3 linked regions of the Rhinolophus ferrumequinum genome follow. The protein of the gene in region 3 purifies or fractionates together with the protein of the main gene of each other region. This does not show direct contact. Links are inferred from orthologs where the notes say so. Each region holds a gene or a part of one and is shown on either strand. Other genes may lie near its edges.

Region 1 (6,508 bases), on a different chromosome or scaffold from region 3:
TGTGTGTGTGTGTGTGTGTATCTCTGTGCCTATGTCAGGTCTCCCTGTGGAGGTGTCACCGGCATATTCGAGAATAACCCGAATGAGGGGATTAAGCCAGCCATTCAAAGACATGTGGAAAGATGGAGGGAAACAATGAGGCCTACTAGTTAAAGGAAAGAAAGAAGGCCAGTGGGGCAGAAGCACAATGAGTACATATGTCTCCAGGCCAGACATCATCCCTGAACTCCAGAATCACACAGGCCGCTAGCTACTGCCGACATATCACCACTGGGATGTCCAATAGGCATCTTGGCCTTCATATGCCCAACACCAACCTAGTTTTCTCCTCCAAACCTGTTCCTTCGTACTTTACTAAATGACAATTCCAGTCTTCCAGTTGCTCATGCTAAAACCCTGCAGGCAGTCATACTTGACTCTACCCCACAGCCAATCCATCATAAAATCTAATTGGCTCTACCTTCAAAATATATCCAGAATCCCAACTGCTTCCTACCACCTCTACTGCTACCACTCTGGTCTCGGTTGAAATATTTGGATCTTATCCTCTGAACACGGCAGAATCATCAAAACTTTTCGAGGACTGGGCGGAGAAGCGACACATGCTTATAGTATCATGTTGGAGCCAGCTCACACCAGTTCACAAGACCCAACTAGCAAATTTTCAGCAACGTTGCAAGACAGTTGACATCATGGTAATAGCATTAATTTGACCATGGTGGGAATATTTATAACATGGATATTGGCAAATATTATAAATCAGGACGCCCCTCTCCACGCCCCTTACCCTACCCTAATGCTGTGGATGTGCAACATTTACCAGCACACAATTGTATGTGCAAATCTGTATTACAGAAAGGTAATTCTTGTTATGTGGTTCTCTACAGGTGTGTACATTTGTGAACACACATTAGAATCACCTAAGGAACTTTTCTCACCATACATCTGCCTGCCTGCCTGAACTCATTGAGGACCACTGCACCAGAAACACTTGTTAAGAGGCTGTTGGCAGTGATGCAGGTGAGAGATGAAGGTACCAAGCATAGGAAAGAAGAAAGTTGTGAGAGAAATCTAGAATAGACTGGACATGCTTTGGCATTTACGAGAGAACTAGATCCCTTTCCTTTATAGCACTCCTCAGTTTGTAATCACAGACTCATTTCTGTGGTTCTTTTGTTAACATCTGTCTTCCTTTCTAGACTATGCACTCCACGAGTGCAGGGGCTGTGTGTTTGCCTACCACTTTATTCCCAGAGCAGAGCCCAAAACCTACTGAAGAAAGGAGAACACAGTGAAGGAGAAGGAAGGATCAACAATGACCTTCAGGTTTCTAGATTAGGTGACAGAAAGGAGAAACATTGAAAAAAAGAATAAGTGTGGTTGGATGTTCGGAGGGGAAGACTTGGGAAATGTTGACTAGAAGTGTTTCTGAATATCCAAGCAGTGATATCCAGCTGGCAACTAGAAATAAGAGTCTTAAACTTGGGTTTAGGGTCTGAGAGAGACCCTCATGACTGTACAATGCAACCTTGTCCTCTTCTATTAGAATCTGCAATGTCACTGAGGGAGTATCAACTTCCCTCTTTCAAAACTCACCCGAACCTCGGCCTCCCGGGGTCTCCCATTGAGGTCACACTTGGATCCATTGACATAGGTCTGGCTGTGGTAGCGTTTCAGGCGATGCTGCTTGGAAGCCTGGAGAGGACATCAGGCAGGAGCGGTGGGATAAGAAAGACAGCAAGAAGGCAAGAATAGTACCTTGTCCTAACGGCCACCAAACCCCAGGAAACAGCTAATTCTAACCCTCCCCTTCTTTTCAGGGCTCTTAATCTGCAGCCAGGACCCCTTTTTCTCCCAATCCCACACTCCTGCCACCTTGGCTGTTTCATCATCCCAGTCGAAGGCCGATTGGTAGTAGCCGAGATACAGAACTTCACCTTTGATCTCTGAATCTGCAAGAGAAACCACAGCAAATTATGGTTACTCCCTTCTAAGAGGACTAGGAGGGAAGAGGACTGAGAAGGCAGGTCACCTTCCATGACAGGTTGCTAAGGGCTTAGGGAAAATGGAGGTGTGAGTCACCTTCCATGTGATACTGCTGGATGTGTCGTCCATAACAGAATTCATATGTCCACCAGTCCTTGGTCTGACAATAAAAAAATAAACAGTCAGGGGGATGGAGTGCAGATGTCTCTTCTTGGAACCAGAATCTCTCCTGGCTCCAAGACACATAACCTATCACCTACTTCTCATCTCCCTCTGCTTCCACACTCAATTCGCCAGATTCTCAATAAGGAGGGAGGGCTGTGACTCAGAGAGATACTTATAAAGTCTGTTTTCCACCTGTGGGCTTTTTAAGCCTACCTTTTTAATGATTTTTTAATCCTTTTTGCTCTCCATAAAGATAAGAAATCATGATATCCTTGAAGCACTAAGACCAGGGAAACATAAAATATTACAATATTAATTTAACTTCTACAACATTCCCGTGCTGTTCTGTCACTGGGGATACAGCTATGAACAAGAAAAATTCTCTGACCTCATGGCCTTTAGTGCTGGGACTAGACCAAAAATAAATACACTGATGATTCAGTTAGTAAGATAATTTCAGATCATGAAAAGTGCCATGATGAAAATGAAATAGGATACTGGGGCAGACAGTGATAGGGGCAGGGGGTGATTTTACCAGGAAAGCTTCTCTAGAGGAGTGCCCCTCCTACCCCACACTGACCCTCTTTAGGGTCAACCCTTGGCTTAACCCTTATTTTGAGATCTTCTATCCTAACCCTACTCTACATTCAGCGAAGTGTCACCAGTGGTTGCAAAATTCTTCGTTTCTTTCCTGTCTGTACAATGTATACTCCTCCAATGGCCTTCTTAACTTTGACAAGTCCTCCCTATCCAGCCTTACTCTCTGGCACTCTGGTTCTCAGATAGAGTTAGTACCCAAGCCCTCATTCCATACATCCCAGTCCTTTTCACCTTCAGCAGGCAGGGAGCATCTTTCATTGGGCTCAACAACTCAGGGATCCCAGGCCCTTGGTAAGCAGGTGTCTCCTCCTCCCTTTCACGCTGGAAGTGAATAGCTCCAGCTGGCAGGCGACATTCATAGCGCTGTTTGTACTTAGAGGAGACAATCACCACGTCTGAAGCTTGGCTCTGGGAAAGAAGGGAGAATAGGTGGACAGGGAGGCAAAGAGAGCCTAGGATCAGGCAGAACAACAAGATCCTCTTCAGACCCCGGGGGAAAGCCCAGTCAAGACAGAATGAGCCACAAGTCCTCCTAAAGCTTTGTTTAGCAGGTGACGGGAGAGGGCACACCCACTGCTCCATAGGGGCGGAGTCGGGGGGGTGGTTTCGATCAGGAACTAGGACCTGAAGCTGACAGCGGGAAGCCCCACCCCTCCCAGTCCCTGGCCCCAAGGGAATGGGTCTCAGTCTGCGATACTCAGGAGACATCGTAAAACTCCTACCTACTCTTCCTGATTCTCCCGCCGCTCCTTCGGCTTTCTCCTTAGCTGCCCTTCTTCCTGTACTTTTCCCCCTTCCCCTTGCCCCGGACCCTTGCCCGCTCTACGCCTCCTTACCTGCCCTCCCATGACAGGCAGCGGCAGGATCTCGATCCCATAACGCATCTCACTCAGTTCTTCCAGGTTCAGGCTCCCGACACAGCCGGTCAGACTTGCAGGTAACAGGAGCCCCAAAAGCAGAAGCCCCAACAGCCTGGACAGCAGCGTTTCTGCCGCCATCTTTCGTTCCCCTCCTTATCCAGAACGACTCCTTCCGCCCTAAACCTGGCAGCAGCCTCACCACGCCCATTAACGCCCCAAAATTTCATTGGCTAGATGTTCTGTCCCTCTCACCTACCTTATTCCCATTTGTAAACGTGACTTCAAAGCCCACGGGGAGGTGGATCACGACCATTGGCAAAATCACTCGCTGCTCGTAATTGGTTCGAGAGGCTAACCAACCATCGACGAGATAAGACCTCCTCCCACTCACTCCCACTTCCAGAAAGGCGTGGTCTATGCTGGGCCCTTTTAAGCAGTTTTCTGTCTTCGCACAGCTGTCACCCGCATCATTTCTTATTACTTTTTTTCAGTCGTTTCTTGCACTGTAGTTTGTCCCCATCGGGTGGAGGCTTGAGGCCAATGGGTGGATGCACGCAAAACCCCTGAAAGATACTTAATACTTGTTGCAAAATAATTATATAAAAGCGCTCCTCTTTTCATATATGCATACAACTTTAGGGCAATCTGGTAATTTGTGTCAAAACCTTTCTATACGATTCTGTCTGTACAATATGTTTTCCTCCAATAAAATTATCATAAATAAATAATGGGGGCTTCCAGTTAAAGACTGGGGAGAGGGAAAGGCAAATACACAAATTATCCTCCAGACCTTGTAAGACCAACGAGAAAGAGAAGGAGACAACAGCAGCAACATTTCAGAAGTTAGAAAGCAAATGTAAGAATGGTAACTGGTTTAGCAAACCTGAGAAATTGATTCCTAAACAAAGGTAAACATGAGCATGATTGTACCTAGAAAACTTCTCCGGGGAATCTGACCAACCCAAAAGAGAAGTCTCAAAGAGACTCTCATTAGGGTCCTCTTAATGAAATAGATGAAGGAATCCTACAATGAAGCCTTGGTCTACATGTCCAGCTCTCACACGATTTTTCCAATAAGCTTTATAATGTCCTCACTCTTAAATATAAGTAGACAGCCAAAGATAATTAGACAGTTAGGGAAAGTCTTTTAAAAAGACAAGAAAGAAAGCAAAACAAGCAAGAAGAAAAAAATAAATTTAGAAGAAACAAAAATTGCAAGGGAGAAAAAGACTTAAATAAATCCATCATTAATGTCCTCAGAGAGATAATATATTGTATCCACCACATAACAACAGGAAGCTATTTTAAAAGTAACTACAGGCCAGCCCGGGTGGTTCAGGCGGTTAGAGCTCCATGCTCCTAACTCCGAAGGCTGCCGGTTCGATTTCCACATGGGGCCTGTGGGCTCTCAACCACAAGGTTGCCAGTTCAATTCCTGGACTCCCGCAAGGGATGGTGGGCTGTGCCCCCTGCAACTAGGAAACGGCAACTGGACCTGGAGCTGAGCTGTGCCCTCCACAACTAAGACTGAAAGGACAACAACTTGACTTGGAAAAAAAAGGCCTGGAAGTACACACTGTTCCCCAATAAAGTCCTGTTCCCCTTCCCCAATAAAAATCTTTAAAAAAAAAAAAAGTAACTACAATTCAGATAAGGAAAAAGAACTCTTGGAAATCAAAACCATGATAGCAGAAATAAAAATTCAATGGAAAGACTGGAGGATAAAGTTGAAGATCAAATTACTCTACTTTAGGAGAAAATTAATAAAAATAAGAGGATCTCTCCAGGCCTGGAAAGAGAACAGAGAATCAGAGGGAAGAAATAATCAAAGAAATTATTTTAAAGTATTCTCCTGAAATGAAGAACTGAGCCTCTAAATTGAAAGGGCACACTAAGTATCCAGCAAAACAAATCAGGCCCACACCAAGATACATCATTATACACTATCAAAACATCAGGCACAGAGAAACAATTCCAAAGTTTCCAGAGAGAAAGAACAAGTTGCATACAAAGATCAAAAATCAGAACAGCGTTAGGCTTATCAATTCATCAACACCGTAAGGGAGAAGACAATGAAGAAATGCCTTCAAAATTTAGAAGGAAATTATTTCCAACGTAGAATACTACATTCAGCCAAATGGATTTAATCGTAAGTCCAAAATAAAGATAATTTCAGATATGTGAACCCTCAAAATATTGATACTCTAGGCATTGTTTTTCAGAAAGACTGGAAAGGATTTATTATATCAAGACAAGTCAGTAAGTCAAAAAAGAGAACAGTATGGAGGGATCCCTCAAGAAATGAGGGATCCAGCACAGAAAAGAAACAAAAGGAATCCCCAAAGCAAAAGTAAATGGAGATTCCAAATTGTAGAGCAGGCCTAAAGATCAATTCATCAAGATTAAAGCAGTTCAGAGGATTTGGGAATGATTTATTTAAGAAATACAATTGATAGAATACCTAATGCATTTGAACTTATTGAGAAGACATTTGTATAAGCAGAGGAGAGTGTGGGGCAATATTAAGTGATAAGCATGTAGAAAGGTGAAAGGGGAAAAGATAGCAATTCTAAAGAAAATAAAAACTTGTGCTAGGAATGCTAACCGTCTTCTGTTTTCTTCAATATGGTTGGTTATCCTCATACTAAAAACTGAAAGTCCTGAGTAAAATGTAAGTATTTTCCTTCTTAAAAGCATGGTAAAGCCAACAAGACAGTAAAGAATTAACCGGCCAAGCCGGCCCGGTGGCTCCGGTTGAAGCTCCGTGCTCCTAACGCCAAGGGCTGCCCGTTTGATTCCCACATGTGCCAGTGCCAGATGGCTCAGTTGGTTGGAGCGCGGGCAACTAAGATTGAACACGGCACCCTGAGCTGAGCTGCCGCTGAGCTCCCGGATGG
Region 2 (6,508 bases), on a different chromosome or scaffold from region 3:
TAATTAATAAGGATGCTAAATAGCACTAATGCGAGGGTTAACAACTGGTGTAGACCAACTCATGTGATGGGAAAATAAAATATGCATGTCTGCGATTATGGAAAGTCCCCTGAACAGTCCCTTGTGTTACAACTTTAAAAATAGTTGATTGATGTGACATAAAGACCTACCTTGAATCACATGAGATTTTAACTTTTGTTGAGACCACTAAACAGAAAGTAAATCACAACCCTCACTGTCTTCTGTATTCAGAATATATCCAAAGAGCTCAATTGGGTTACCTCTGTTCATTGTACCCAAATTAAATCTTTGTTATCAGAATGTGTTTTTACTCAAGTCTTCTAATGCAAATCTATGGTAACATGCTTTGAAAAAATCACTAAGGCAGCTTAACTTACCCCTTTGTCTGAAGTCTGAATCGGCATTTGGACTGAGCCCTAACAGAGCCTGCTCATCCATCCCAGCAGCTATGCGGCTATGTGGCTATGCGAGCAGCTTTCCGATGGCAACAGACGTGCCCACTGACCCCACAGAAGGATCTGCAAACATCTGCACGTGCACACAATGGAAAGAAACACAACGCTTGATAAACAAAATAGATGCTTAGCCAGAATACCCTAACAAGTGGAAAATATTATGCAAAGAAGTTTAAGTGTTCAAAGAACTTCTTTTGAAAACAATTCAAATTACAACTAAAGGAATCTAAGACTCAGAAAAATGGGCCTGCTAAGTACTCCATGAATGTGTAATTTCTAAAGACGTAAAGTAATGTCATTAAGGTTCTCAAATTTTCTTATTCAAGACCATCAATAAAGCACAGAAAATAATTATTTCCTACTTCAAACAGTGGAGCATCTACTTTATGCAAGTTTTTAATATATATCTCCAGTGAGTATTTAAAAAGTGCAATTGTCCAACTACATGAAAAAAATGACAAATCCAGATTAAGATAATTATAAACATTTGCCTACTTCCATTTATCAATATCACAAACTTTAAGGGGAAAAAATGGAATAGCTGACTAAACAGCGACCTCAGAGTTCAATATTCTTATTGGAGTGCCTACAAGTACTTCAAGAGGTCAAATGAAAAAGAGTATGAGTCAAAACCCAGTCCATTTAGCTTTTGAACAATGGGCTAGCTCTATCTTTTACAGGTTGCTGCTCTTGCCAGCCAATTCTAGAAATTCATTTCAGTGTTTTTTTTAGTCGTTATAAAATTTTATAAATACCTAACACTATTCTTAAGAACATTTTTTTTTTCAGTCTCTGGAAAGTAATGCATTTTTTTCACAATCCAGTGTCAAATAAGAACACGGTACGGAGGTCCCAAGAGAACAACATGGTTTTTGAGAGAATGTGTATTTACTGGAAGAAACAAGGAACAAACTCAAATAAATGCAAAAATTACATTTATTCTCTCAAGACCTGTGAGGTAGGGAGAACAGGCCTTACTAGTCCCATTAAAAGGCTGTGTGGCGTTGTTTTGAATTATAACACAGAGAACACAAACGCCTAAACAGGCCAATGGGCAAGGGGTTGGGAGGTAGGGGTAACAGCCTTTTTGGAACTGTGCGGCCAGGATCAGGATGCAGGTTAAGGAACCCCACTACAGTGTGCTTTAGTCCTCCCCTGGGCCTGCCTGATGGAACAGCAACTCAGGGTATGTGCTGAGGCTGGGGAGAAGCCGGCTCGGCCCTTTTCATGGGTACTATTGCACTTGCAGGACTCCAGCAAGGTAGTGTAGTTCCCCACTGGCCTGAAGATTAAGATCCAAGCAGTGGTATTCTGCCTTTCATCTGCCCCCATACTGCTTCTTTCTTGTTCTTGGTTAACCCCTGCCAGTCCTTCAGAATTCAGCTGAGAGGTCACCTCTCCCAGGCTTCTTTGACCCCTATCATCCAACTCTCTCAAATTGGATTAGATGTCCCTCCTAAGAGCTGATAGTCACCACCTGCTTACCAAGTTTTCTCTGGCTAACCTTAAAGGGCAACGACTGATTGTCTTGAATACTCATAACTATGCATCTAGGATACAACGGAACAGAGGTTTGGATTTAGGAAGACATGGATTTGTACTCCAATCCCGTCATTTTCAAAGTGGGGCCCACGTGAACGAACAACTATGAAATCCGAGAGCCCTTTCCATAAAATGGGAAAAAGAGCTTCTGCCTTATAAAGTTGTAAAGACTTCAATGACATGAAGGTATGCCTGGCACAGTGGGTCCTTAATACGTTATTTACAATTCAGAACTAGACACAGTAGATGGGAACTACAAGTATTCTAGATTAAATGTCATATTAGTAAATTGGCATTTTAAAACAGATGTGAAAACTCAAAGGCAGTGGTTCCTCTCCACCTCTATCCGCCCCCTCAGCCAAAAATTACAAGAAAATGTGATGATGAGTCTCCTGAAAAATGCACACACAGAAAGAAAAGACAAATTCAGTTTCTAGAAAGTCCAAGCTTGAGAAGTCCGATAAAAGATTCCTTGAATTTGGCATGGCTTTAGGGAAAACTGTTTAAGCTGGTCAAGTCACTTTGATTCTATCAAGGGAACACAGGGTGGTCCTAAGATAAAACGTGGCAAATAAAAACTACCTGAGGCAAACAAACTTGTTACAGTTGTCAGTACAAGAAAGAATCCTTCAAAGAGGAAGCACTTGGATAATAATCACTATGCAATGGAACAGATAATTACCCACGTGTGTGCAAACACCTGAGAAGTTACAACTTCTGCGAAAAGGTGACAGTTTTCCCCTTGTAAAAGGCTGTGCTGTTGTAAACACATAATGTTCTAACACGGCACAGTCCTGCAGGTTTAAATATTTGTTACAATGCGATAAACACTTCAATTACGCATTTAGCAAATGTTCTGGGAGGAAGGCGAGCAACATACTTAAAATTCTAACCCCTAACTTTTCCTAGCTAGCCATTAAATCAAGAATTAAACAATTTGGAAAAATTCTTCCACGCTCACAAGACTGTTCAAAGATCAGGACTGAATCTTTCCAGCCTTTTTAACACCACGCTGACAAGTCGCTTTAATAAAACGTAACTTCCCCCAATAAAAACTAATTAGTACTTTCAAAAAGTATTTCTTTTCTCGTTACAGGAAATACCACTCCTGCAGAATTGTGAGGAAGGGACGAGAAGAAATGGCGTGTCTCTGCTGGCAAATTACTACACACACACACTTTTCTCTTTTTTGTCCTGGGGCGGGGGGCGAATCAAGTTAAAGCCCTCTGCAGTTGCAACTGCTGAAACACGCAGCTACTACAAATGGGCTTGGCCACTTTTACTAAATAGGGGGCCACAAGCGATGCCGACCCTCCTCCGCTGGCCTCGTCGCCTTGCTCCCTCCGGATCCCTCCCCTAAAGGAAGCCTCGTGGCAATTTGGGTGATGAAACACCCGGCAACCGGCGGCCACGCACTCGGGACGCGCTCCGCGGCGGCCACGGCTAGTACCCACCCCCACCCAGTCCGCCCAACCTCCCGGCACACCGCCATGGAGGGCCCCCGGCCCGCACCCCTCCCCAGCGTGGGGGCTCCCGCGGCCAGTCCTCCCAGCCAACTTCCACGCAGCCTCTCGCGAAGCGAGCCGGGTCCGAGTCCCGCTGCCCCCCAAACCCCGAGTCACCTTCCCTATCACTCCATCCCGCCTCCCCGCCTGCACTCCCGAGTGCCGGTCAGCCGAGCGGCGCCGCACGCTGGGAGCGGGGAGAGCGGCCCTCGTCCTTGTTGCCGTCGGTCTCCGCCACGGCGCAGCGCTAACGCTGGAGACGGAGCTGGCCGGGACCAAGCGCCTCTCGCCGCTCCGCGTCCCCTAGCACCTTCTCTCGCGTGGCGCCGGGCCGGCAAGCTAGCATAGGCAAGCAGGCGGGGTCAGCGCCCCAGGAAAGGAAGGAGCGCGAGGGCCCGGCCAACGCCGCCACCGCCGTCGCCGCTGAGTCAGCGCGAAGCGCGCTCCCAGCGTCGGTGCCGCGCGGGCCAGCGCCAGCAGCCTCATGGAGAGAGCAGACGGCAGCCGGCAGGCTGGGGCCGGGAGCCTACAACTCCAGCATGCAACGTGCAGGCGGTGCTTCCGGGCGGCGGGGCGCACACGCGCTCCCAGGCGCTCGCCGGGAGGTGTGGTCGCTCGGGCCTGTGGTGCATGCTGGGATCCGGCCTGAATCCTGCTGGGGGTGTTGAACCCAGTCCCTTCTGCGCGGGGTCCGAGCCTCGCGGGTGGGCTTCGTCAGTTAGTTGATAGATTAGAGTCCCGAGATCCGGATGACGTGGTCCAAACCACGTATGAGTCGGTTGTTTAATTGCTGTTCCGTGGTCCCACATGTTACTACTCATACTAGCGACTAATTACTTTATACTTACTCTATACTCCGATGAGCGCTTCAGCGTTTTAAAGTGAAATTTTTGAATTTCACTTTAAACGTACTAATATTTCGTCCTTTGTGAAAAGAAGAGCATTCTTAGGCAATCTTAGTCGTAGGTTCTATGCTACTGTTAACTTTGTTTACTCATTCACTGATTTATTAATTTATTAATAAAGCCTCGAGGCAGTATAGGCTCACGCTGCCTATATTCGAATCCCAGCACCCCGTTCACTAGTTGTTGACCTCAGTTTCAGGCATGGTACATAATCTGTTTCTATTTACTCATCTGTAAAATTGGGATGATTAAAATACTGACCTCTAAGTGTTATTGTGAGGATTGAGTTAATACGGGTGTTTGGCACACAATAAGTAATTGATACTTAGGTTTCACTGTTGATTATTCAATAAGTGCTGAATACAGACTAGGTTGCAGTCACTGGGACTACAGTGAAGAACAAACAAAAGTTGGAGGGAGGAATGGGAAGAGAAGTAGAATAAACTTAATGTAACAATGTAACAGCTACATTTATTTAGCAACCCACCAGGTACAAGACACTGCACCAGCTATTTCATATACAAAGTTATTTTGAATCACTTTTGCATCACAGTTTGCAATTTCCTCCTTCAGAATGTCAGACTAGGATTGCTGTCCCTATCCATTACATTGTATTCCCTGAGTCTAGTACAGTGCCAGACTAGTTACAAATCAGTAAGTGAATAATTGCGTGGATGCTTATTACATTAGCAGTGTAGGTCAACTGTGCACTATGGAGGTCAATACTAATCCTAGTCTGAGTGGCTCCAAAGGCTTTAACATGTTCAGTATATCGCAATGCCTCATCTTAAAGAACATCAAAATACGGTCTCTTACAGTTACTGTCTTTATTTGCCCTTTTCATTTATAAGTTCATTTTGTGGATTCTTCATATGTTAAGTATCATATGAAGCTTATTTACAGCCTATTTAGTATCCACAGCTTATCTACCATTGACTTAGTAACACTGACCCTTTATGGTAGCTCAAATACCTAGGATTTTAAAAATCTCTTTCAGTTTTGTAAACTCACATTATTATGGAATAAAGAAGTACATGGAATCCAACTGAAGAGGACCTGAAAGGGATATTAAATTTGACCATTCCGTATTCTGTTCACCAGTCCATGAGGGGATGGGCAGTTTCTCATCTAAGACTAATATAAAATGCCAATTGTGCATTGTCAACATTTTTCATCATTTATTATGTGTTCTAAGTGTTCAGACATTAATCTTCACAACAACTCTATAAAGAATTATATGCTTCATTATGGTTTACAGTATGCCTTCATATATCTTTTCTACTTTGTTTGGTCCTCTTAACCTTGTAGGGATAGAGCAGGTATTATCATCATCACCATTTTTAATTTACATATAAGGAAACCAAGGAGGATCTGTTTTAAGTAACTTATCCTAAGTCACATAACTAGTAAATTGGTAGGCTGGAGCCCTAGACTCATGATTCTACATGTAAACCAAAATTAAATTTTAGACTAATAAAGAATAAAAAGCATTTATTTGAATAAAAGGAGCTGCAGACCTGAAGACACAGATTCAAGGAGCAACCTACATTGTGTTCCACCAGGACAAAGGGGAGGCTGCCTTTGAAAATTCCCACCCAGGTTCCCAATTAGGTCTGTTTTATGTAAATGAAGTACCCAAATTTGTACATTTCTGATTGGTCCGAATTTAGCAGTCCTGATTGATCAACAATATGTTTCCTGATTGGTTGTTATGGAGCGGTTCTGATTAGAGGGGACAGGTCTTAGTCCATTTGGTTGAAAGACGAAAACAGGAACTCCTTTGTAGTTGTTGACTCAGTCTAGGAAGTCTAGAGTTCAGTCTGGCGCTCTTTCTGGTCAACAAATGGCCACTAGCCTGTTATTATTTATAAAATTGGAGCACTCAGTTAACCATGGGGAGTCCATCTCAGCAGATAAATTCCTCCTCGGCGTTCACGTCAAATAAATCTTTCTTCTCAAATAAATCTTTCTTCTTGGGGTCCACATTCCTCCTAGAAATTCTCTCCTCTCTTGACTTCCGATCCTATCTTATCCTCACGCTCCTTTTGCCTCTTCATTTTCTTTACCACACTCCCATTTT
Region 3 (3,600 bases):
CCATTTTGCAAGAACAAGGGGCTTGTTCAACATTCCTTGAGCGATCTCCACGTTCATTGCTGGTTTGGTGACTGAGTTGCCACCAGGAAAGGCAGCCGGAGCAACTACTGAGTAACTGTGGGCAGGGGTCTAGACTGCTGACCAGGCGGCGGCTTGTTCCAAGTTCACAGAAGGGACCATCCTAAGAAGCCCAGCCCCTGGTCCATTCCCTCCCCCTCCCAGCAGCTGACATTAGATGCTCACACACACCTGAACGGGCGCTCCTGAAACCAGAACTCACACACAGCAGTGGAGATGGCTGGCCGCAGAGGGTTCTGGGCAAAATGGCCTACGTTTAAATCCTGGTCCTGCCTCTCACAAGCTATGCCAAAGTCACTTTACTTCTCTGTACCTCAGTTTCCCCTCATATGCATGATGGAAGAGTCACAAGGATTGATAGGACAGTCAAACTCGTGTCTGACTGTACTAAGTACAAGAGGAAGAGACGATACCATACCTCAGAGCCAAACAAATCTCTCTAAAATGAGCACATTTTCTTGAATAAAACTAACTGAATTTGACTGATACGGGTCTTTAACACTTTTGGTAAAACATATCTCATTTTTGATAACTTACCCCTTAAATTTTGGTCTTTAATGTTACTTTCACTGAATGACATTTGTTCGCCTACTCTCACCATTTTCTTTTTCAGGAGCATTCCGCTTTAAGCAAGTACAGGACCAACAGGCAAGTTAAGCGGTATTTCGATTTTTCTCAGAAACAGATCTCCACACACTAATCCTGGGGTTCAAAGGGGTAACAGCGACGCACTGGGGACATTTCTGGAGAAAAGTGATGCTTGAGGTGCTCCAAGACTTTAATGTAAAGGACAGGCGACCCCTGCAGAGAAAATAAAGAGCGACCTGCCTGAGAGGCGGCCCTGGTCAGCTGATTTCAGGAGCAGGACCAAAGGGACCGTTTCACAGCAGGGAAGAGGGGGCGTCAGACTCCGGAGGAAAAGCTTTCGGTGAAAAAACTAATCCACTATTATTGAAATCACCTCCGTCTCCTCTCACAGTATTTTGCAACTGCTGGTAAAACTCCCGATGTCCAGAAAGAGCATCTGACGTTGGAGTCTTTGCGAATCGCCCTACTCATTGCCTGTCATCCCTCACATCCCGCGGCCCAACAAAATCACCTGAGGAGCCTGTACAAACCCGGAAGGCCAGGTCTCACTCCTGACCGAGGAAATCCGAATGTCTGGGGGGTGGGAGCCAGACATCGTTGTTTATTTTGGGTTCGGTTTGGTTTTAAATCCCAAGCGATTCTAATTTGCACCCAAGTTTGGGAAGCGCGGTTTTCGGCCCTGACGCTCCCCCAGCGAACGCCCTCAGGACCAAACCCCACTCCCTGCGCCAATGACATCAACTGCAAGTACAGACCTGACTCTTGGAACCCGGCTGCAGGATTTTGAAATTGTGCAGTTAAACCTTCTGAGACATGTTTCTTGTGTCAAGTGGGTTTATGGTCGGTAGTCACGAAGCCAGACTCGCTCATGTTCGCTCTGGACACTTGGCACCAAATCCGGTTTTCATTTTTTTTTAAAATTAAGTTTAATATTTTGATTGGCCCCATGTCAAATTTTTAAAAAAGCTAAAAGAAATGTCCCAAAGAGAAAATCTCGGGATTTTCAAAATAGGAGCCCTACTTTGAAAAATTGTGGGGTCCTGATCCTTAGGCAGGTGAGCACCAGGACCCAGCTGTCCGGTTGCAGCCGGTCGCACCGCTCTGCCCCGCTCCACCCCGAAGCCCACAGACGTGACCAAAGTGCTGCAGGTGGGGGGCAAACCTCGGGAGTTCCCGGGAGGGACAAGGGCCGCGGACGATCCGGAGGGAGCTCGGGGGTGCGGGGGTGGGGGCGCGCCCCAGGAGCCGAAGAGGACACTAAGTCCCTTGCCGGGAGCCACAGGTAGTTAGCGACAGAGGCGAGCTCTCCGGGCCTCCCACTTCGAGGCTGCAGCTCCACGCCCGGGAAAGGAGCGAGCCGGCTTCAGTGGAAGACGCGGGTGTAGGGAGCCCCGGGAGGTCCCCCGAGGGATTCCCGCATCCTGGGCGTCCGGAAGCCCTTGGGGGGCGCGCCCCGCGAGCCTGGCCCCTTGAGTGGACAGCGCGGGCGCACGTGCCCGGACGCCGGCCGGCACCGCGGGGACCCGAGCGGCCCCCGGCTCCGCACCAACTTTCGCTCTAGGACGCCAAGCCCGCGCAGGAGGGCAGGAAAGTGACGCGGAAAAGTTGCGAGCGCTCGGGGAGCGCCCCACACCCGCCCGCAGCCCGCGCCCGCAGCTTCCCCGCCTCGGGCCGCCGCAGACTCGCCCAGTTCAGAAACGAAACGTCCCGTTCCTCCCACGGTCCCGGCCAGCAGCGCAGCCGCTCCTCAAGGAAGCAGGAAAGGAGGGCCGGCTGCGGGCCGGGTGGCGCGGGGCCGCGGACACGCCCGTACCTCTCTTTTCCTCCAGCGCCGGGCTCCCTGGGAAGTGCGCAGCCAGCAGCAGCAGGAGCACGGCTCCCACAGTCCCCGAGGGTCGCATCGCTGCCCCCAGGCGCTCGCTCCCGCTCTCCGCAATTAGTCCGAGACGGAGCCGGGCGGCTGTGCGTGGTGGCGGCGACTCCGGAGGTGGCCTGTCGTCCGGGCTGGGAGGCGGCGGCCGCCGGGGCAGGCTCGCTGGGGACTCGCTGGGGACTCGGGCAGCCGGGGCCGCGGGCGTGCACACCGTGCGGGGGGCGGAGGCTGCTGCCGCGGCGCAGCGCTCGGAGCTGCCCAGACGTCTAGCTCGCGGGGCGGGGGCGCGGGGCGCCTGGGCTGGAAGGAGGAGGGACCAAGAGCAGGGGGAGGGATCGCGAGGAGCCGAACGCCAGGAGGAGGGAGGAATAACCAGCAGCGGGGACCGCAGGCAGGCAGCCGCGCGGAAGGGGCAGACCACGGTGGCCCCCGCGGGCCCCAGCGCTCGGGCGACGGCGCGGAGCGGGGAGGGGGCGGCGTGCGGGAGCCGGCGGCCGCTCCTGGGAATTCGTGTTCCGAGAGGCGAGTTCCCAGCGCTGTGCGTCAGGACCCAGCCCTCGCGGACTGGCGCTGCTATCTCGGTGACCCAGCCTGCGTCCAGACATTGCCCCCACCCCTTCAACTTGCAGAGCAAACTTGTACCAGCTCCGGTGACCTGGCTGAGACTTATGCCCAAGGCTGGATAATGGCACGGGTGAGGAAACCACCCCTTTATTCTCGCCCAACTCCCCCGAAGCACCCGGGGACCCTACTGGAGGCCGAGGCTGGCTTGGCAGCCAGGTGGTTGGTTCCTCGCTGCGCCCGCGGGCCAGCGGCTGAGTCGGGGCTCTCAAGTCGGAGGGTCCTTCACAGCCCGTCAAGCATCCTCAGAATCGTCTGAAATGAGGGCACCCAACTCCTGGCACAGAGCCGGACGTTGGGAAATGTTAGTTGAATGAATGCACGAGTACCGAGGGAGCCCACAGCTTTCCTAGGCCCGGAGCCAGCCAGGGGTACTTGACAAGCAAATATTCACGGTAAATTACTTTGCAAAAGCCCGGCGCTTGGATAAAGGCTTGATA

The links.
Region 1: the proteins of EGFR (region 3) and OS9 purify together in Homo sapiens (affinity purification with mass spectrometry; 3 studies listed by BioGRID and IntAct, with this or other methods). This does not show direct contact. The link is inferred for Rhinolophus ferrumequinum from reciprocal best matches to the Homo sapiens genes EGFR and OS9.
Region 2: the proteins of EGFR (region 3) and XPOT purify together in Homo sapiens (affinity purification with mass spectrometry; 4 studies listed by BioGRID and IntAct, with this or other methods). This does not show direct contact. The link is inferred for Rhinolophus ferrumequinum from reciprocal best matches to the Homo sapiens genes EGFR and XPOT.

What each region holds. Positions count from the first base shown.
Region 1 is NC_046293.1:56,600,515-56,607,022, reverse strand, and holds the start of OS9 (protein OS-9), read right to left. Parts: upstream 3,792-6,508; 5' UTR 3,750-3,791; coding exon 3,588-3,749; intron 3,160-3,587; coding exon 2,983-3,159; intron 2,147-2,982; coding exon 2,083-2,146; intron 1,953-2,082; coding exon 1,876-1,952; intron 1,696-1,875; coding exon 1,597-1,695; intron 1-1,596. UniProt on the Homo sapiens protein: Lectin component of the HRD1 complex, which functions in endoplasmic reticulum (ER) quality control and ER-associated degradation (ERAD).
Region 2 is NC_046293.1:61,441,681-61,448,188, reverse strand, and holds the start of XPOT (exportin-T), read right to left. Parts: upstream 4,048-6,508; 5' UTR 3,641-4,047; intron 550-3,640; 5' UTR 460-549; coding exon 399-459; intron 1-398. UniProt on the Homo sapiens protein: Mediates the nuclear export of aminoacylated tRNAs. In the nucleus binds to tRNA and to the GTPase Ran in its active GTP-bound form. Docking of this trimeric complex to the nuclear pore complex (NPC) is mediated through binding to nucleoporins.
Region 3 is NC_046303.1:4,399,707-4,403,306, reverse strand, and holds the start of EGFR (epidermal growth factor receptor), read right to left. Parts: upstream 2,794-3,600; 5' UTR 2,568-2,793; coding exon 2,480-2,567; intron 1-2,479. UniProt on the Homo sapiens protein: Receptor tyrosine kinase binding ligands of the EGF family and activating several signaling cascades to convert extracellular cues into appropriate cellular responses.